Arabidopsis thaliana: one gene and its partners. The protein of the gene in region 3 interacts with the protein of the main gene of each other region in a pairwise test. Each region holds a gene or a part of one and is shown on either strand. Other genes may lie near its edges.

Region 1 (6,722 bases), on a different chromosome or scaffold from region 3:
TTTCTAAGAAAGGTATCAACTTTATACTTTTGTCTTTGTAATCTCTGCTTAAAGCTAAAAGCTTTTTCTTTTCTTTTTTACAATCATCAGAGAAAGAGAGTTTGAACATTGAGAGGTACTCAGATTCGTTGAAGCCGAAGATGAAGTCTAATAAGAATGGATCTTTCTTTGATTTTCTTGTTCTTAGACCTGATAACTTCCCTAAAGAACTTCTTGGAGGTTTGTTTTTGTTTCCACCATCTCAATACTCTTTAGATGTGTTTAGTTTCATCTTGCTGATTATCATTTGGATTATGCGATTTCAGATACTCGAAGAGAACAACGGCCTGTGAAGAGAGCTAAATGGAGTCAAGAAGCTGGTACATTGTCTTTATTATTAGTTTTTGTTTTCAACAATGTAACGAGAAGTTTAAGTTCTGTGTTTTTGTTTCATAGATTTGCAGAAATTGGATGTGTTTGAGAAGCTTGAAGCTAAGTTTAAGGTAACTAGTGAAACTTTTAACGGTTCAATGGTTTTTTAAGAGCACTTGACAGTAATGTGTTTTGGATTATGTTTGGTTAGGTTGAAGGCAAGGAAGAGAAAGAAGAAGGGGAAGATGATGAAGAAGTTGTGGAATCAGAAGGAGAAGAATCTGATAACGGAGATTATGATCAGGTTTTTGCTTATTTTTCAGATTAATGTTTGAATTGATACCTTGTGTGATTCTTCTTCTTCTTCTCAAGTTACTTAACAACTTTGTTCTTGAATGTTTTTTTGTAGAATCAAGACTTTGATGATGATGACGACGATTATAATAACGAGGATGATGGATGTAAGAGTCATCATCTTTATTCTAAGATTGCATCCTTTAAACTTTAAAAATGATTCTAGCTAACTTTGTTTCTCTCTTTTCTTGCCAGTAGTTGAAGAGGTGTATTAAGCTGCTTCTCCTTTTTCCCAAAACAATCAAGTTTTGCAGTCAAGAGAAGCTAAGCCTGTCCCAAGCTTTAGTTTTATTTAAAAACTCTCAAGGCATTTATTTGTTTTGTTCCCTTGGTTCTTATCATATTGGAACCATCCCCTCGAACTGAAGAATATGAAATTCATGTTCAAGCGTACAAATTTCTGTTTGGTTGAAAATCACAGAGCTTTACGTTCTTCACTCAAGAATTTCACTAATCTTCCATAAAGTTAGTAACCACTGAGCTTTAGTGTCGTACATTTCGCACAAGATGTCTATTTGATTCGACTAATATTCAATTTAGACAAATTCTTCAAGCTAACAAAGCAAATCAAACTTTGTCCTCCCAATGCTTTACACTTCTTGTATTGCTGCATTAATTCCAGCTGAAACCATTAAAATCATTCTGGAAGCGTTGTTGCATAGTTTTCATCATGTGTTAAGAACGTAACGCTGTTCGGTTACGTGTGTTGAGCAAGCGATCTTCACCATTCTTGTTGAAACTTAGTTGTGTATATTTTTCACTGTTGTGATGATCTTGACCAATCTCGTTGAATCTTTGAGGTGTATATTATTAACTGTTGTGATACTACCTCCTGTGTTCATGTAATCCAACTTCTATTGTAGCCTGTTATTATTATTGTGTTATCCCATGATATCCACGAGGCTTCATGTTTTTACTTTTACAGAAGTACACAGAATCTTCTTATACAAGAGTTTTATCAATTGATAGTGCAGTTACTACTAATCAAACCCATTTTATATTATCTTCGTCTCTTAAACATCATTCCTTTTGCTACATTTTGTTTCTTGAAACTATTTGGCTAATTCAAGTGAAAGCTTTGGCAAACAATAATGTGTCTTGGTTCCTAATTACAATGATACATATACATTGGCTCCTAATTCCTGTCCAAATCAAAGTAATCTAGAGAAAACTACTAGAGCCTAATCAGAAGATTAAAACAAAAAACAATAAAACTAAACTTGAAAGAACAATTCAGTAGATATTCGAATCTATCCATTGAAGGATATTTGGAATTGAAGGGCAAAAAAGGAGAGAGCTTTTTCACACCCAAAACTGATTCGGATTTTGATATAAGCCTCTGTCTGAACAAGAAGGTGTTCCTATATTTCACATTCCCGTTATTCGGAGGCTATTCATATACATATCACTCTATACACAGATTCTTCTGTCTGAAACTTTTTGGGGAAGAAGCTTTGATTTGAATTAAGAAAACACAAAGAAGCTTCTCCACAAAAACCAAAGAAGCCACGAATCAAAACAATACAGAAAAGTATTGAATGATCAGAATTGATTTACGCCTCCTAACTAAGCCAATAAGTATGAAATTGCCTAAATAACTTAGGGTTCATAAAGCTACTCAAGGAGGCGGATTTTATCCCCAAATATCAAAACACAAAACAAAAACGATAGAGATTAACAAAGAGACTTATGAGGAAGATGAGTTACGAAGAAGACAAGAGTGGCGCAACCCTTTTTATTCACTCTGTTTTCTAGGGCTTTTCTTGGGTTGGGTTGTGAATGACTATTTTACCCTCCCTAATTGACTGACCGGTTAATGTAATGTGGTCTGGTTTTCTTAAACCACTCAATCTGTTTTAACCATTGGCTTTAAGAAAAAAGGCAGAGTAAGATCTGTGAAAATTAAAAAGGCCAGCAATATTCTTTGTACAATATTACAAAGTTTGTAAGGTTACATGAAGTTGTGATTTATTTTGGTGGTGTGGTGATGGCTGATGCAACTTTGCAAACTTCCGCATAGCAAATATCTCTGCCCGTTTTATTGGGACGTGTCGTGACAGTCGCGTTGCTTCTGCGGGATCATTCCATTGGGGCAGGTGGACGTGCTTTAGTGAGGGGCGTGTAAGACTCAGGTTAGAGGAAGGAATCGAACTGTTCAAGAGCATGAAGACAAGATTTGGTGTCACACCGGTTATCCAACACTATGGATGCGTAGTAGATCTTCTTGGTAAAGCGGGGCAGATACAAAAAGGCTTATGAGTTTGTATTAGCTATGCCTATAAAGCCTGACGCTATCTTGTTAAGAAGTCTTTGCAATGCCTGCAGCATTTATGGAGAGACTGTAATGGGTGAAGACATCGGAAAGACTCTTCTCGAGATAGAACGAGAGTAGGAGAAGCTTTCGGGTTCTGAGTGCGAAGATTATGTCGCTTTATCAAAAGGTAGAGAAGCTGAGGAAGGAGATGAAAGAAAGAAGAATCAAAACACGAGCTGGTTACTCTTTTGTTTAACATAGCTTGTTACAGGTCAGGATTCAAAACACTACTCATTTAGTTTCATCAAGTCATTAATTAACATTACACAACAAATAAACTTGCAGGTCTCGGTTCTGTTAAAAGCTCTGTTATCCCCTGAGGACTCTCTTGTCTTCTTCTTCTTCTTTAAGCACTTGCATCACATCAACATCTACACACAGATAAAGATATTCAGATCCCAATCTTCTTAATCATAACGTTGTTATGAACAAAGTCTTCTTACCGTGTAGAATCTTGTCAAACTCGATGTCTCTTGGTCTCTTCTTGGATTTGTGCTCTGTATCAAACTCTTTGCCTGTAATTTCAATTACATCATCGTCGCTGTCGATGATATGAACTGCATCCAGAGGATAGTTGGTCTCGCAAGCCGAAGCATTGAAGATTATTACACGGAAACTCGAATTCTTCTTGTATTCGAACAAGAGAAAGTGGCCTTCCTCGATGGAATGAGCCTCTGCAAACTCACTCCAACCCTCATGGAACCAAATCTCTTCACCGATCCGTTTAAGCTTTATGGAACGCTTATATCCCGCAGGAGTCACTAATGTAACAACCTCTGAGAGTTTAGACCCTTGTAGCTTTACGAATCTTGGCGGAATCCTCTGCTCAAAAACATAAATAGATTTTCAGAAACAAGTAACAAAATGTCAGATCTTAAATTCTCTACATTTCTTAAGAACAAATTATCAAATTAGTGTATCCCTTTTAGATCTCTAATCCAAGATAAAACAAAAGAAATGGACACTGTTTAGTGAATCTGCAGATATTGAAACAGGAATAACAACACACATGCAAACACTTTATTTCAAGTTTTTTCAAAGTATTAGGTAATTACCATCATCTTATCCTTCATCGTTGAAGGTAAGACCAACTTGAAGAACTTCTTCACCGGCGACTCAGGATCTTGCTGTGATTGGCGGTGAGAGACTGAGGTGGCTCTGGCCTTCATGTTTCGGGTAATAACCATTTTTGTTTGCCTTGCTCAGACAGAGAAGAGAAGGAGAAAATTGAGAGTAGAGAGTGATGAGTGGAGACTCGTTAAAGAGGCGTAAAAGAGAAACCGAGAAGCCAGATAAGTTTTCTTGTCGTTATGTTAGTAAGATTTTTATCTGACGAGTGTGACAGAGTTACTTTAACTCTTATGTAGTTTTCCAACACTCTTTTTGTACAGTTCTCAAGTCAAAAGATAAGTCTTACCATTATTGAAGTTTTTTTTTTCCTTTTGGTATACAACCTTCTATTTACATATATAATTTTTGTAAGAATTTTAGACAAAAAAACCTTAAAATAGTATTTAGTTTTTAATCTTTACAAAATTTATCTAAAAATTTTTTGTTCTACATTTATTTTTGTATCTAATTTATTTGATTTTATATATACAATACATATACTCAATAAAATATTAGTTTTTTTTTACTGCATATAATGTAATTTAAATTTTTAAAAGAAAAATATATTACTCAATTGATAAAAAAAACATGTATAAAAAATTCTATATTATTTAAAAATTTAGATTATGGTTCAGAGTCATATTATAAAAAAGACCAAATTGATTTTGAATACGAAGGAACAAAAAGCTTATAATGGGACTATTGTGGCTGTTAAAAAAAGCATCCAAATTAAAAGTGTTATCTCGTTTACTCTGGTTCTTTATTTTAAAGAATTGAATCAATAATTTTTTAAAATATTATAAATATTAAGATTTTATTAAAAGTTAATTATTACAAATTTTACGACTTTTAAAAGTTAAACTTTATAACTATAAATATTTAAAAATATATATGGTGAAATTAAAATATACTAATAGGACGATATACTACAGGTTAGATCCAAATATAATAATCAAAATACAATTATAAAGTTTGGATCGATATTAATTTTTTTTTAAGTTTGAGACATTAATAATATTTGAACTCTATCAGAAAATGACAAAAAATGTTTAATTTCCCTGGATGTGATTTAATGTGGGATGAGTTTGGATCGATATTAATATGAGATGATATACTATGAAGAAATTTTATAATTAACAATCAAAATACAATTATACGATTTTAAAAACTAAACAAAACTAACAATATTAACAAAACAAATATAAGGTGTATCATACATAAAAAATAATAACATATATTTATAGATCATCTTAAAAACAAAAATTTAATTTTTGATAAAAAAAAAAATAGGTATATAGTATATCTTTTAATATGTTGTTCAAATATTAAAAATATTAATTAAAATAAATCTTTAGTTTTTTGCAAATCAATCTCTAGTATAAATTTTAAAAAATAGCATTTAAATTCGCTTTTATCAATAACCAATGTATAATTAGTTGCTACATGTCATAACAATCAAAGCCTAGTTTCTAATAAAGACTAACAACACATATTCCTAATAAACACTGAACTAGATTTTAACCCGCGGTATACCGCGAGATGATTTATTTTTAAAAAGTAATATATATTAAAACTTGCAAATTTATTTTTATAAAATATTTATATTTTACAGTTTATAATTGTTATTAAGTAACGCTATACCACAAATCCATTAGACAATTATTAAAAAACTGAAGTTTTAACCCTATTAAAACAACATATTAATAATATTTTAAAATTTTATAAATATTGATTCAAATACATCCACCATATAACTCAATTCCAAAATAAAACTCGTTCTGTAATTTCTTTACCCGTCCCGTGATTTTTTAATTAAAGTAGTAATTTTAAAAATTTAAGAATTATTTATTAAATATAAAAGTTTTGCAAATTGTATCATTCTCTAATACATTTATATTTTATAGTTTAATTTTATATATAGTAACATTATACATACCACGTAACATTTTTGGTTTTATATAATCTTTTCTAAATTAGGATGATTTGATATGTTTAATATTAGTGGTCTTAAAAAATAATAAAATAAAAATTTAACCCGTATTGAAACGGTGGATTAATTAGATTTTACTTTTTTATTAATGTTGATTCAAAAACCCGTCCCTCCAAATCCGTCTTGCCAAAAAGCCATTTATTTTATTAATATTAATTTTATTTATGATATGACTCTGAATTATAATCTAAACATTTTAGCTAATAACATAGAAATGCACCATATTTATTTAATAGGAGAATGTACTATATGACCGGAATGCACTTTTACCCAAATCCACCAAAAAAGTCTTGCAAAAATACTATAGACCCGAATGTACCATATTTTTTTTGTGCTAATTTTTCTGTGATTATGATTTAATTGATTTCGTATATAAAATATTAAATTGTTTTACGAACTTATTTGTTTATAATTTGGTAACAGATAGATATTTGAATATTCGGTATATTTTGCTTCAGTTTAGGAAATCTTTGATGACCCGTCTTTAAATCCAATAAGCCCTACAATTAAGAGATGAATATTGTCGTTAAATAATTTTGGTAATCTTAATGATGTCATTAAAAGATTTTGTTTTTGATTTAAATTTTCTAATGGCATTGTCAT
Region 2 (6,607 bases), on a different chromosome or scaffold from region 3:
ACCATTCCCTCTCCCCACGCGCACTACTCCAAATTTCAAGCTATCAAAGCATACAAATAGTACAAGACATATCTGGGCCAGTGCTTGGGCCCATAATAAGAAGATCCAATCTTCAAGACAGCTTCATGTCGTTAGGCTTCCAAATGCAAATCTCACTGTTAGTTTAGTTTTGAGTTAATAATCAATCAACATCTACCTCAACAAACAAATCAAACCTATTGTTAGCATTATAACATGTATCTTTTCAAGTAATTAACAAGAGTACCAAAGTCTGTAACATCTTAAATTGCAACCAATGTTTGAATTCATTTCAACATATCTTTGTTTTTTCGTTAAAGCTAACTCAGACTGCGGTGAAAGACAAAGAAGATGATAAGGATAAAGTGGTTGCGACGAAATGAAAGAAGGATGTGATAACATGGCAAGCCTTTAGCTTAGGCAGTCCCATGTCAAAGAAGGTAGATGAGAAACATACCTTGGGTTCCTCTTCTTTTCCTTATTTGACATGAGATTGCCAAGCTATAAGGCTTGTGTTAATACTTTTTCATATTCTCTTGTGCAATCTGAAAGTTTTATCTTCATCCATATCATCATCTTTGTCTTTCACCACCACAGGGCAGGCTGAGTTTGTGATAACCAAGACAAACTTATAAATGTAACATGATGGAAACAACATTTCCAGAAACCAAATGGAACATAAACATCAGCTAAAGTGACAATTAACCATGCTATTCTCAATCAACAAGGACTATACCATCATTCTTCTATTAAGCAAGTCATCACCATCTTTCATCTATACGAGGATTGAACATTATATATTGAACAAACAAAATGGGATAAAGACTTGTCAAAGCAGCAACAAGTTCCAAAAGAGTGACTGAGAGCTTACAAAAAAGGCAAAGCGATAGGATTTGATAAGGTTTCAAGCCTGAGTGCCTGTCAACGACTTCATCTGAATGTGATTAGAATCAGCATTGTTAGTCGGCAAAGCTTCATAAGAACCAGTTCTTCTCACTCCGGCCGCCATCACCACCATCGTGTAAGTCACAAAGATGAGGATAACCACAAGCACGACGTGTACAGTGAACATTAGATCCAATATAGAAACAGCTCTTAGCTTAGAGTCCTGAATATCACATTGGGTTGATCCTTCAACACCGCTTTGAACATCAAGAAGACGATGACATCCCTCAGGAATAAACCCATCAACGTAGAGAGAGAGTCCAGTCTGAAGCTGCCAGAGACCTTGAAGACAAATGGCAGCAGCGAGAGCAGCGTCAGCAATAAAGAGTCTTGAACGGCAAGCGAGAAGCAAACAGAGGAGAGAGCATAACGCGGAGATACGAGCAGAGAGGGAATCACAATGAGCTTGAAGATCAGATGTTTGAATTGCAGCTGATGAAGACGCGGCGGAGTAATGGAGGAAGAAACCAACGGAGGCGAGTGCGAAGAGGAGATCGGAAGGGAGAGGGATTAACGAGGTTGAATCGGAGAGGAGATAGTAAATGGCGATGATGAGGAAGAGGAAGAACACGGCGGCGGAATTGAGAGATGAGAATCGGTGAACAGGAGTACTTCCTTTGACGAGAGGATCGGAGTAGAAGGAGATTAGGGTTTCGTGAAGGAAAGCGACGAATAGAGAGAGTATGAGGATGAACAGTGGTAGATTTTGGAGGCGGTTGTGATTGTGGTGGTTGTTTCCGGTGACGGAGGAGAGACGTGGAAAAGGGTAAAAGGGTTTCGCGGCGTAGGATTGGGGAGATTTAAGGAGATGGAAGAAAGTGCAGATGAGATGATACAATCCTAGGGTTAGTAGTGACGCTGAAGCGAAGAGCTTGTACATCATCTCTCCCATTTTCGAAGCTTGATTTTAGGGTTTTGTTGTTGTTGGTCGGGATTTGTATGACTGATAAACTTTCTCCGATCTGCTTAAGAGAGGTAATAGAGAGGACGATCTGGTCAACTGCTCCTTTAAGTTGACCGGTTAGTATTGTTAAACCAGCTGACTTTTTCGGTTATTTGACAATTAATTGCACTATTTAAACCGGTTTTATAATGGATTTTCCCGGTAGTTGGTAATTCAATATTGTATTTGTCAGGAAGAGATTGATTGGTGCTTGATTTGTTGCAACATGACTACATGAGCATGATGTTTCACATTCTTAACTAATAGAAATGGATTTAGACTATTTATGGGGACGAAGTGGTACATACAATGTGTTGGTGACGACCAATAATCATAATTAACTAATAGAGCATTAAAAAAACAAAGAATCAACCGTCTTAATTAAGCAAAGCAAAGCAAAGCTGCTATAGACAATGAGAGATTCAGCTAATTATGTGATGGCAATATGACAAAACAGTGGCTGCAATAGCTAATGTTGTCATCCAATAGGACTGAGAAAAGGTGTTGCCAATGGAGGAACTTCGGTCTGAGTTTGTAGATCCTCCTCTAGAACCTGCAAGAACACAAAATATTCATGAAACATCTTTTGATTGAAAAAAAAAGAAAGAACTAAGGTTTGAGTGTGTACGAGTCAAGCAAGCAATGGGATTGACATGTTCTCCACATCGAGCAGGCAACATTTGAGCATCATTGACATCGATGCCAGCTCGCTCGGCTTGAGAACTCCAACGGTTACTAATCATACGGCACAAGCACTCTGGATTGTTCCTTATCACTGATTTGAGAGGATTACAACAAACTTGAGGTACTTCCTTGGTCCCATTCAGGTAATTTAGGCATGGAGCAAGTTGGTTTAGACACGAAACGCTCTGCCCATTTATCCGCATCCCCGAGCTAGCTGCAACTAGAAGAAGTACAACGTAAAAAGAGAAAAACTTCATCCCCATCATCATATCACCTTAGTTTACTATTTTGAGTGTTACTAAAACACTTTTGTACTTGTTTAATTTTTATGTTTGGTGACCAGCTTTTAAGATAGGTAGACATGGTTCACCAGTCAAACCTACTACCACCGTTTGACCATCCTCAACAGGTAAGTTACCAGAAGAACCCATCAAATATGAAATAATTTTACATTACGTAAGCAAATACCAAAACCACAGAAGTAGAATAACAAATTGTTATTCCATCCTAGAATATAGTTCTCGTTCAACCATAAGAAAAACACACAGAGGTTTGGGCTATACAAAGTATGTCATGCCAACTAATAACCCATCGAATAATGGGCTTTTGATGTCCAAGGCCCATATATATTAAATATGTATTTGAAAGTAACACAAGAGCAGTTTCTTGTTTTCATTAATCAAGATACAAATGATAACTTGTTATTGAAAAACTAATGACAAACAGTCACTTTGATCACATAGGCAGAGATCAAGGACGGCGAAACATAGATAAACCCAAAAAAGAAGAAGAAGGAAAAGGTACAAATGAGGAAGGTATTAAATATGGACGATGAGAAAGAATTAGGAGCCAAAGTAGTTGAAACCTTGAGGGAAAGAGTCAGAAACCGGAGGCATTCTGCTGAACATTGGACTATGTACGTACTCAGACGAGTAGTCGTCACCGGTCCAGGTCCACTGTGGTTGGCTATAACACGAATTCGACAAGTCGCTCGGGAGAGGAGGCAGCTCATTACTACTGTCATTAGAATAGCAATAAGAATTCGAAGATTGAGAGCCACCAAACATGTAACTGTCCACTTGATCACAATGAGGCTGAAGCATTGGCGAGTCAGTGGATGAGTATTGGTTAAACATCATCATGTAATCGACAGGATCATTGCTAGGAGGAGCAGGAGGAGGTGGAGGAGGAGGAGGATCGTCAGGAGAAACAATGGAGGTGACGGATGAGGAAGGAGGCATGTCTGAGTAAACAAAGTTGGTTCTGGCACGTGTGCCACGCATGGACCGAGCAGCTCTATCGTAGGCCAAGGCAGCTTCTTCCGCCGTATCGAAAGTGCCAAGCCAGTGACGCTCCTTCGTAGTTGGGTCTCTAATCTCAGCTGCGTATCTTCCCCAAGGCCTTCTTCTCACCCCAAGAAACCTTGTACCAACCTGATCGTCTTGCTTCTTCTTGCTCTTTGATGATGTTGTGTTCATCTTTCTAATAATGATACTATACCTTTATGCATACACAGATCAATAAATGTCCGATATATCTATCTTTTTTCTAGTTGAAGGAAGAGAGGGAATGTGTGTTGGTCTTGGAAAAGTATCCCTTACCACAACCCTTTTATATAAGAGCTATACCTTTCCTTTTTCTCTCTCTTTTTTCATTGTGTATAATTCTTTTATATATCTTTTTATTCCAATTGAAACAACATTTAAAAATGGCTCTGTGTTGAGTTAATTGTGGCCCATGATATATCAATTATCAGTCAATCAAAAGTATATAATTATGATTAAGTTACCACTTGATAGCATGTTTCATGCATTTCTCAAGGTTGTTCTACACTAGTGATTTCATTTTTATACATGGTTAATTCTGCTAAAATATAATGCTGAGTTCCGACTGCCTTTAATCATACAAGTGCTAATATATCAACTCAATCAATTACAATAGTAATACATAAGAGCTTCTTTTTGTTAGGTGATGTATATATTAGAGAAGAGAGTGAAAGAATAACAAAGAAATTAGGATCATTATCAAAAATAACTTAAACAAATACAATCCGTTAGCATATTATATATAAATATCGATAGATACACATAATCATCATTCATCAACAATAATAAGCTGAAACAAAGGGATTAGGAATGATAAGAGCCATGATTAGCATGTTACCTTAGATACCAGTGTCCCGAGTCTAATAATAATAACATGTCCGAATTGATTAACAAATTAACGAGAGATAACGTAATAGATAAACTATTCAATTCAGAGAATATATTTGGTATAACGCGTCCAAATACTACTGCATGTGATGGTCCATATTGAATGATGGAATGTGCATGAACTGCGAATTTAACATGAAAAAGAGAAGCAAACCCTGATTATTGCATATATGAAAACGCAAACACTTTCCGTCTTATCAATCATACAACACATAAAAAAACAATGAGTTTGGTGTTTTGGTTAAAGTTAATAATTGGTAAAGAAGGGTGCAATGATGGCCGCATGATGGAAGGTAGTCGACTAAATTATGAGGAGGAAAGTCATTACTTAAGCAGCTATTATATCATTATATGTGTATTAATCTTGTATTACTAATACGTCAGAGTAGGGTTTTGACTTTTGACCAACACAAAATTAAAAGAGTTGAAGTCTCATGCATTAGAGAGAGATTATGATATTTGATATGAGTATCTAAGGAAGCAAGTGGTAGCCTTTCTAAGACGATCTTATTTTGTGTCAGAGGAAGACCAAAGACCATTTATGTTTATGTTTGGCTACACGACCAACGTTATGGACGGTGATAGTGGATCGTATCATTTCTTAATCTTTTATAATATATACGTCCCATTTGTCTACATGTACAATAATCACAATGTGTGTTAGCGTTAATTAATTAGAGATTAGTCAAAAACAATATAGGGGTAGTGCATGTGCTCCCAATTTTATAGGCTGCAACTTCAATGAATATTGCCACACCCTTTTTCTTTCATCTCCCACTTTCTAATCCCAAGGCATCTATCTATTTCCTTATAATTTAATCATTTATGTGTTTGTCCTCTTGGCTATGAATATGATATCGTCTCTTCCTAAATTCAGTTTCTCAAATTATATATATTCTGACCAAAATACTCCATTCATATTCATTTGCTATATACTATTTTAAAACAAACATGCATTATTGAGAACAAAGGAATTTGGGTTGCATGTGAGCAATCTTTTATGCTTTTGAAATTTTATCTTTAATCTTAATTTCATTGGAGTAAACAAGCCCTATAATTTATGTTCCCTCACTTTTGACCAACTCTCATTTTTCTCGTTTAATTTTATATTCTAAAGTCCAATCTTGATGCATTGAATCTTGTTTACATTTACGTTCCGCTTCTATTCTCTATCGCCTCTTATTATTCTCCGATATCCACAGACCACAGGTTTCTTTACTTAATTAGTACTACGTTCTCATGGTCTACGGTGGAATATTAGTACATGTAAGAACTATATAAAATGTATCAATGGACAAAATATTTATACGAATCCTACTTAATTAGGATTTAGGTCAAGAGCCCTAATTAAGCCCTCCCAGTCAGATCACCGCCTTTTTCACTACCATCACTACTCTTAAGTGACTTCGGCATTTGCAATACCATTCTCGAACGTTGTATGTAACGTCCTCGAACAACTGGAGATATACACAAGCTGACAAGTGAACACATGCATATCCCAATTCTTAACTATATCAGTTTTATGGAAATTGGAAGGATGTTTTGTTCTATGGTCCGAGTCTCAAATTGACGAAACTAGCAATTCTCTATAACTCATCTCGAACTATTCTTGATGCAAATAATTTGATGATCAATTATCTGAGGGTTTGGGCCTCTAATTGTGTTAGTTTAGTAGAAACTAGAAAGAAAAAAAAAGGGAAGAAAGAAGAGAAGGCATGTGCGCCCAACGTGGAAAGGCATTTTCTTGGACGCTTAACATAATTAATCCTTTTTCTAATTATTGCCTAACACAAACATCTTTTGT
Region 3 (9,228 bases):
TCTATCCCCTCCATCTGTTAGAAAAATCTTGCGGCATTTTTTATTTAGACCATTAGAACTTGTGCAATCTTGTGGAAGATACTGCAAGGGTTCACAAAAGAAGTGTTGTCAGATGAAGAAGAGCCAGTGCCAGTGTTCACAAAAACAAAGGGGTTCACAAAAGGGCTAAACAATTTAAGTAAACGTACCAGTGCATCTTCCTTTAGATTTGAAGCCTTGACAAGGGCTACAAAAGAAGAGTTGCCAGATGAAGAAGAGCCAGCTTCGGATTGTGAACTGTTCTTCCTCACTTTTTTTACTCTTTCAAGCTGATCTGTGTCAAATAAACAAATCCCACATGTTAAAACCATCTTCGGATCGAAAACTTTATGTTTTTAAAACTCATCAAACTAATATAGAACGGAAGTGATGATGAAACCGGTCTTGTCTTGATCATCATGACCTTCTTCTGTCCTTAGACGCTGATGCTTCTTACTTGTGTAAAACATGTAAGAAATCTCCGTTCATATAGATGCAAACAAGGCTTTTTTTTGTACAGATTTTCGAAATCTTTCTTCAAAGGATTGTTCTCTCAACTCAGATCTGACTATAGCTCGTTGATTAAAAACGAAAATCATCAGAACAAAACGTACCGATCTTGTTGATATCATTGTTGCTGGGCATGGGTTTGTCACGGATGTCACAGGCGCTGACGTTGAACAGCATCGTTGTCAGTGGAGAAGAATTAATTTTGATATTCTGGTCGGAGAGAAAAAGAGACGGAGATGAAACTGTGTAATGTCCGAAATGATTTTAGACCCAACAAAGAAAAAAAACCTAATGTTCAGATAAGAATCTTCTTTTACCTTTTAGAGAGCATGCACTTTTGGGAAATTTTTAAACATGGGCGCGTACGTAGACTAAATAATTATGAGTTAAATCTAGTTGATGATTTTGTTAAGGAATTTGACCAACCTTGGTTTTGCTTATACTTTTTAAATTTTTTGTTTTATGGGGCTTCTAAAATTCACCTTTCTTTACTAGATGTAACTTTAATTTATGAGATGATTTGTTAACGGTTATTTATGAGAGAAATTAATATTTCAACCAAATTGACGGATTATTGTTAAGTGGTTAAGCTCCCGCGCAAAACTAATATCTTTTTAGATTGGTTGAAAAGCTGAATCGGATAAGCTATTGGATTTGTAAAATTTATTTTTTTTTGTTTTTTTTGCTTCTAAGAGTTTTTTAGAAAACTTTTTATTCTTAAGAAGTTAATTTGATGGATAATAATCGTTGACATGGGTTTGTAGTTTAATTTGGTATGGTCAAGGTTTTATTCTTAGGAAGTTAATTTAATGGATAATACTCTTTTTTACTAGATAAGTTCCCCCGTACAATGTTTTTAACAAGCTAAGAAGTTAAGTCAGATAAAATATGGGTTTGTAATTTAATTTAGATTGGTCTAGCTAGTTTTTATTAGTTTTCCATTCAACGTTTATTTTTTTTAAGTAGGTCTTCTCGTGGTATGTCATAGATTCTGTTTTTTCTACATCGATTATAGTTATGTTATACAATAGTTTTGAGGGTTCATCTAATGAGAATCTATGAAAATCCACAACATGACCTCTCAAATTAGCATCTAAGTATATAGAAATACACTAAGTCTCCTTTAGCTTAGTAAAATGCTATATACACATGTATTATAAATACTAGTTGTAATATTATGATTCGATTATGAGAATTTACTTTCTGATTATGAATAATATGGTATGAGAGCAAAGTGCTTAACAAACTTTCTCTCTTTCTCGTTCTTCTCTATTTTCCCGGAAAATTAAAATTTTCTTTATACATGTGTTATTTTTTCAAACCGAAATATACCATATATATATGATACATTATTGTTAGATTTTCTTTTATATCATTACATCATATTTCTAAAATATATTTTTCTAATATGAAAAACAAGAGATATTTTCCCTATATTTTATCTTTATTTTCTTCACATTAAAATAAAATAAAATCATTTGATAATAAAATAATTAAGGATTTTTGTCGGTTTTTGTGTCGGCAGTTTATGGTATAATATCTTATAATTTGTTTCTGTTTTTTTCCTCTTCACTTTACTATAAATGTGAGAGATTTTCCCTATATTTTCCCTTTATTTTCTTCACATTAAATAAAATACAAAGAAAGATCAAATCATTTGATAATAATATAATTAAGGATTTTTGTGTCTGCAATTTATGATATAATATCTTACAATTTGTTTCTGTTTTTTTCCTCTTCACTTTACTATAAATGAGAGAGATTTTCCCTTGATTTTCTTCACATTAAACAAAATACAAAGAAATATCAAATCATTTGATAGTAAAATAAGTAAGGATTTTTGTCCATTTTTTGTTTCTGCAATATATGGCTTAATATCTTACAACTTGTTTCTGTTTTCTTCCTCTTCACTTTAATATAAATGACTCTTCACTTTAATATAAGTTACATTTTCCTATATTTTATCTATGATTTTCACATCATTTAAAGTAAAATATAAAGATAAAAATATATGATGATAAAAAAAGATATACAGTATAAGATGTTAATTTTGATTTTTTGCTACATGTATAGCAGATAGCCCTTTAATTAGAAGTCTATCTCTACTACATACTGAAGTATGAAGTTTATGATTGGTGTCGACAATCAAGATGTTTAGTGACCCCCAAAAATAATTATATAAAATCTTTAACGATTCTTGTTTAGTAAACCAATATTATCTGAATTAATGATGATTTAAACGGCATTTTTTAACATGAAAATTAAACCATAGAAGGAAAGAAGTTTATTTGAGCGATGATCCTAGACATTCTTAATATTGTTCTCAAACTTTGGAACAAAACTTAAGAAGAGGAACTGTGTCTTCCCAAATCAACTCCAAGATAAACGACTCATTCATCTCAACACCATTAACCTCGCAGAAACCTTTTGAACCTCTTCCTAAACTCATTGTTCCGATCTTGTCCATCAGTAGTGAAGTACGCCATTTTGCATCGTATCTATCAACCATCGTTATCTTCCCCGCCTTTTTGATTCCATTCCGCTTCATGAATTCAAACGGAAGATTCTGTAGATACCATCATCAGATTATATATCGAGAGTATTAAGTGGAAAAAAAAAAACAAGAAAAAAACAGAGTTTTCTTGTGAAACTTACAAGTTTACTTGAATGTGTAAGTGTTAAGGTCACAAATCGGTTTTGGCTTGTTGAGTTTTTCTCTTCTGTGGAAACATATTCTTGTTTAATAGTTTGTGAACATTGTCCTTGCCTTATATCTTCATTGATAGGTTCAGCAAAAGGAAGAGTATCTTTCTCGCTAGCTTTAAAGGAGTCATTACAGTAAACTTCTTCCCCAAGAAACTCATTTTCTGTGGCTTCCATGCCAAGAAACTCTTTTTTGGTAACTTTTAAACTCTGTCCATGCCTTGTGTCATTGCTAGGATCTGCAGAGGAAGAAAGTGCTTCTTGTTATTCAATTTTATTTCAATATTTTTGTTTCTTGAAAGAATAAAGCATAAACAACTTACTAAGTTTGTGTAGATCTTCACTGTTCAAGGGTAACAACTGGAGCACAGGTGTTTCTTCGTTATGGACTAATTTGAATTTGAGCAAGTCTCCTGGTTTCTTCCCATTAGCCACACAGAATCTTCTCCAACCTCTTATCGTTAAAAACCGGCCTGTATGTGCCTCATGTTTCACATCTATCGTCCATGATTCTCCCTCTTCATTCATTAGACACATCTGAAATTTCTTCAACAAACCATTTGACATAATGAACGTCTTCGGAAGATACTGCAGTCAAGTACAGTCACCATGAATATCATTAAAACACCTCTCAGTCAAATCAAAATCAATATATGTAAGTCAGGAGTATCATAACCAGTCTATCTCGGCTTAGATTTGAAGCCGTGACAGTGGCTACAAAAGAAGAAAGGTCCGGTGAAGAAGGAGCTGCTTCTGTTTTTCGAATCTTGTGTCTTGGAAGACTCTCTGTATCAATTATAGAATCTGATTGAGATTTTTCTCAATAACCAACGGATTATGAAAATTAACTTACGAAGTTTGTCTAAATCTTCAATGGTCATAGGGAACAACTGTATCATAGGTGTTTCTTCATTTTTGACCAATTTGAATGCAAAAACGTCTCCAGGTTTCTTCCCATTAGCAATACAGAAACTTCTCCAGCCTCTTCTCATGTAAAACCGGCCGTAATTATATGCCTCGCGTCTCAAGTCTATCTTCCATGATTCTCCTTCTTCATTCATTAACACAATCTGATATTTGTTCATCAGACCATTTGACAATGCAAACTCTTTCGGAATATACTGCAAATGCCGCCACAAGCCAAGTTAGATAGAGTTATCAAGAATATACAATAACATAAAAATTACTGTAATGAGTAATATGGAAGTAACATACCAATGTATCGCGCTTTAGATTCGAACCCGTGACAGTGGCCACAAAACAAGAATCTAGTGAATTGTCTGGTGCAGACTCAGCTTCTCTCTTTAGACTCTTTTTCTTACTTGAAACATTCTCCGTACCACAAAGTTTCTCTGTTGATAGATTAAGTAATATTCTTAGACTCATTCTAAATGTGCTAATGATATTTAATATGAAACTAAGGTTACCAATTTTATCCTCTTCAAGGGTATCTTCTCCGTATTGAATCTCACAGCAACTTGGTCCTAAAGCTGTGACATGGAACACTAACTCTCCTTCTTGTCTGAAAACAACAATGTCACCAACTCGGAGATCATGTGCGATTGTGAAATCTTCCCAACCATTAGAGAGTCTCCGGCCGTCTATCTTCACTTTCCATGTCATCTCCGATGCATCTGATCTGAGCTCAGCCGTTTTTCCTACGTTAGTTCCCACTAAGTACTTCAAGAAGAACGCCACAGGAATGTCCTGAAACAGCATGCTAGATGAGTTACAAACAGAAGTAACTTAACTGGTCGGAGAGAGTATAGAGAAACAGAGTACCAGGTGGTTGGTGAAACCGGGAAGAAGTGGTTGGAAGAATTGTGGGTTGATCGGAGAATAGAGAAGTGGATTAGCCATATTCAGACGTTGAATTTTTTTAAGTTTTTCTTCTTCTGAGCGGAGAGAAGATGAACTAACAACTTTGTATCCCTTACTTCTGTAATGTAAAAAAATAACCTTTCTCAGCTTTCTATACAAAACGTCAAAGAAACTTTCTCAGCTTTTTCTATAAAGCAATGTTAAAAAAGACCTTTATCAGCTTTTTCCAAAGACTATATATTGTTTTCGAAAAAAACAAGTTTTGACTGAGAATAGTGTTGGGATTGAACATAAAGACTCTGATTGGTTATGGAAAATATTCATCAAATAAACTTAGCAAATATCAATGAACGAGAAAAATAAATCTTGAGAAGACATTGGTCTTTAACCAAAAGAAAGAAAAAAAGAAGAAGAAAAAGATCTGAAACTAAATATGCTTAATTCAACACGTAGGTACCATAATAATGTAAAAATAGTTTACAAGAAATTAAATCTTAGGAAGTGAAAACATTCATGTTTGCTATCAAAATATCATATGGTTTTGACAGTAAATTAGTTAGTTACGTTGTGGATTCGTTTTTGTCAAAAAGAATAAGAATTCGATTCTTTGTTTGCATTTACGTTTATATTTTTCAAAAAGTGAGTTTATTGTAAAACTGAAAAACGTTTTGTATTTTTAACAATGTAAAAGAATATTTTAAGTACACGCAAAAAAGGCTTAAAATAATAGTGTGTTCAATCTTCAATGTAAGCAACATTTCTCTTGAAACCACAAACAAAAATCACGAGAGGGAACTATTTGTACATCAGTATTCAGTAGCACTGTAGGAATACGTATCACGTGCATCTAGGCTATCTCTTTATTCCCCACAAAGCAAAAAAAGAAAAAATCCAAACTAATCACTACAAAGTACAAAGCGCAACGCACCAAAATATCCATCTTTTCTTTTGTTTGTGAACAGTTCCATCTATTGTCTCCTTTTCCAGTGAAAACCAATATGTATTGGGTCTGAATGGAAGAACAGAGGAGTTACGGATATAAAGCAGAGCAGGACAAACACAATTGTATCTTAATAAACCAATATATCCAGTTATTCACCTGTACTTGGTTTTGTCCTACTACAATAATAGATTTGCATTTGAATGCATTTAAGTATATTAAAAAGTGGTTAAACTAACACTATTACTACAATTATCCAAATTATTTTCGTTTCTAATATTTATTCTTTCTATTTTCTACTTCTATGTTAAAATGTCTTAATTGTCAAACTATGAAATCCACATCTCACTTTGCGCTGAGACCACATCTTTTTTTCAGCATAAACGTGAAAATTTCTTTAGATTATATTAACTGCATATAAGTATAACCCAAAAAAGAAAAAGTATAACCCTAATTCCAGATAAGTTAATATGCTACTAGTCGTTAGCACATAAGAATTTATAGCATTAGGTTTAATGTCTTGCATAACACGTAATAAAATCTACCTCTATTGTAACTTTGATAGTCTCTCTTAAATGGGTCATTTGTTTCTGAAAATCCTTATTTACAAAATAAAGTACAATTCTTCATTCAAAAGAAAAAAAAAGTACAATAGTTTGGTATAATAATAGCATATGTTTTTTTGTTAAATTAAAGACTGTCTTGGTCATGAACTTGAGACATATTTAATTGTGTCTTCCTCTTGACAGGCATTTGTTGACTTGATGAACACGGACTCATCTCTACCTTATCGAGGTACGAAACCTGGTCTTTCGCTAGGAAACAATATGTGAAATTTCCGAGTGCCATAACACACACAAGTAACACGCCAACAAACAGAAACAAGAAACTGTCTATGTCAAGCTGCCTAGAGGTGAAAGAGGGATTTGGATCTGGATTAGTAATTGGATCAGGACAGCTTTGTTCTTTCTTCTTGAACCATGCACGCTCGAGCTCCATTGCCTTTGGAGACTCTGCTACTTTTAAGATGGCCCTTGAAACATCGGCCACTAGAGGTGATCCGATTGGAAAAACCTGCGAAAAAGGACTTATGATCTCTCACCATTTAATGCAATTTTCACATAAGTTTTGATATAGGAACTTACAAAGCCGAATCCATCAACATTGAAGGGTTCTTCAACCATTTTGTATGTGTTGCAAAACTGTCCAAGAAAGAGTCTCAAGTAAGGTATTTCCAAGAAAGCTCCAGAGACACCACCTTTTTTTGGTCCTTTACTTAGAAGCTCATCACATTCTTCTGCAGTATCAAAGGGCACAAGGCTAGATTGCGGGAAACCTCTTTCTTTAAGCTTTCCAAGGATGAAGGATGTTCGCTGATAACCCACTGTTTCTCCTTTTTCAAGCAAACTACTCATGCTGGTTATTGTTGGATTTAATTTCTGTGATGTCAAAAGCGATGCCAAACTCGCTGTGTAACTCTGGGTTAACACGAGAACGAGAAAGTACCATGCGATAACCAGGGCCCTCGCCCAAAAGCTAAATACTCTTTCTCCTGCAGACAGGGAATCGAGAATAAGAATCAAGCAAGGTGCATGATATATAGGAACATATATATGCTGACATGTAGAGAGGGGAGATTAAATGTACTTGGAGCAAAAACCATGGTAGAGAAGGCAAACCAACAGATGGTACTAGCTTGGAATCTAGGCGGTCCACTAAAGTCCGGATTACGCTTATATTCGAGAACCCATACAGTACAACCGACAAGGAAGAAAGAGATAAAGGAAGTCAACCATAGTTTCCATGACAAAGGTTTCATGAAAAGTATATAGTCTCTCTTTACTGGGTCTGTCATTTCAACGATCAATCCGACACCTGATTTAATAAATGGGAATGTGAAGTCGACGTAAGAAGACCTGTTCACCAATATGGTTGTATCTCCCACAACCGCATCATATCTCTGTGACAGAGAAGCAAATAAGAGTTCACTTAGTATAGTTATAAATGCTATATTGATGAATGATTAGTATGTGCTCATACTCACCCCGAGGTACACTTGGTAGACCAAGTCGTTGTAATTACCGGCTGTTTTTCCGTCGGGTTTTTCGAAAGGTATGAACTCATATGAGACGTCATAAGGCAGTTCTCGAATCACAGCCTCAAAGAAATCTATGCAAAAACCTGTGACTACAGTTGAATTGGTAATAGGATCCCTTGTGACTTTCACAAGATCAGTGTAGCCGGTTCTTTTGGGAACTCCAATACGCAACTTCTTCCCCTTAGTCGGGATCTGCCATCCTTTCGGAACAGAATCCGCCTCTCCAGGCCATACAATGTGTTTAAGATGATCTTTCCAAGTAGATAAAGCGCTTATGCTACTTGCTTGCTGATCAAGTTTCTTCACAAGACCATTTCCCTCCTTCCAAAATCCTATTGATTTTTCTCCGGTATTGATTATATTGACAATCTCAAACACCGATGGTTGCAGTTGCCCGCGGAAAAAACGAAACTCTCCTGCAAGTCCTCTGAACTGAACTGTTAAGAGTGTTTGGAGAAGCTTTGGACCGAACTGAGATAAACCAAGAGCTTCAAGTTCAGAAACATTCCTCCCTGTATCCACCACTTTACTGAAAGTCATGTTATTTGTTCCAGCTTCTTCAATGGCTACCGCTAGTGCGGTGGTAGCATCATAAGCCCACAGACCATAGACACTCAGCTCCACCCGTGGGAATAAACTTCTCCATCGAGATCTAAACTTCTCAAGATCTGGGGATTTTGGAATATAAGTTTTAATACCCAATACCCCCTCCATAGCCTCAACAGCCGTCTCATTTATCAAACTTAAGTCATCGATAACTCCATTGGTAAGGATCCAGACATATCCTGGTTCCATCAAACCAAGCTCTTTTGCTTTAATGAAGAATCTTGAGGCAAGATCATAGTACATGTGGACAAGGAACACTCTTGTGGGCATGTTCATCATCTTAAGAAGCTCCACGGAGATTTCATGATCAGTGGCATTGATAGCGATAACGGATCTATAAGGTATCCGGACATTAATATCTTGTAAAGCATCGGTAAGACGAGGCATTATACCTTCACCAAAGGTGTTGTCAATGTAAACTGGCACAACTTCTCTCCATCCGAACAATTTGATGATGGCTTTTATTGGTTGAACTTGAAAGGAGTCTTCGTACGTAGCACGTAAGAAGTATGGACTACGAAGGGAAGTAAGA

What was found.
Region 1: the proteins of AT2G24700 (region 3) and AT4G01580 interact in a two-hybrid assay, tested with the Arabidopsis thaliana proteins (one large-scale study listed by BioGRID).
Region 2: the proteins of AT2G24700 (region 3) and LEP interact in a two-hybrid assay, tested with the Arabidopsis thaliana proteins (one large-scale study listed by BioGRID).

The regions. Positions count from the first base shown.
Region 1 is NC_003075.7:683,275-689,996, reverse strand, and holds AT4G01580 (AP2/B3-like transcriptional factor family protein), read right to left. Parts: upstream 4,328-6,722; 5' UTR 4,207-4,327; coding exon 4,075-4,206; intron 3,842-4,074; coding exon 3,463-3,841; intron 3,391-3,462; coding exon 3,329-3,390; 3' UTR 3,111-3,328; downstream 1-3,110. Other genes in the region: AT4G01590 (DNA-directed RNA polymerase III subunit), read left to right, coding at 1-12, 91-219, 306-359, 436-482, 563-655, 761-812, 901-920.
Region 2 is NC_003076.8:4,479,018-4,485,624, forward strand, and holds LEP (Integrase-type DNA-binding superfamily protein), read right to left. Parts: upstream 4,231-6,607; 5' UTR 4,069-4,230; coding exon 3,433-4,068; 3' UTR 3,111-3,432; downstream 1-3,110. Other genes in the region: AT5G13890 (plant viral-response family protein (DUF716)), read right to left, coding at 923-1,855; AT5G13900 (Bifunctional inhibitor/lipid-transfer protein/seed storage 2S albumin superfamily protein), read right to left, coding at 2,329-2,459, 2,535-2,859. UniProt on the Arabidopsis thaliana protein: Cell division-promoting factor involved in leaf blade differentiation, inflorescence branching, as well as in carpel and silique shape. Promotes the number of xylem cells.
Region 3 is NC_003071.7:10,510,198-10,519,425, forward strand, and holds AT2G24700 (Transcriptional factor B3 family protein), read right to left. Parts: upstream 5,215-9,228; 5' UTR 5,092-5,214; coding exon 5,014-5,091; intron 4,939-5,013; coding exon 4,659-4,938; intron 4,584-4,658; coding exon 4,447-4,583; intron 4,353-4,446; coding exon 4,085-4,352; intron 4,018-4,084; coding exon 3,908-4,017; intron 3,820-3,907; coding exon 3,555-3,819; intron 3,471-3,554; coding exon 3,184-3,470; intron 3,095-3,183; coding exon 2,852-3,094; 3' UTR 2,687-2,851; downstream 1-2,686. Other genes in the region: AT2G24696 (transcriptional factor B3 family protein), read right to left, coding at 1-81, 189-313, 633-705; GLR2.3 (glutamate receptor 2.3), read right to left, coding at 6,683-7,066, 7,138-7,544, 7,640-7,952, 8,037-9,228.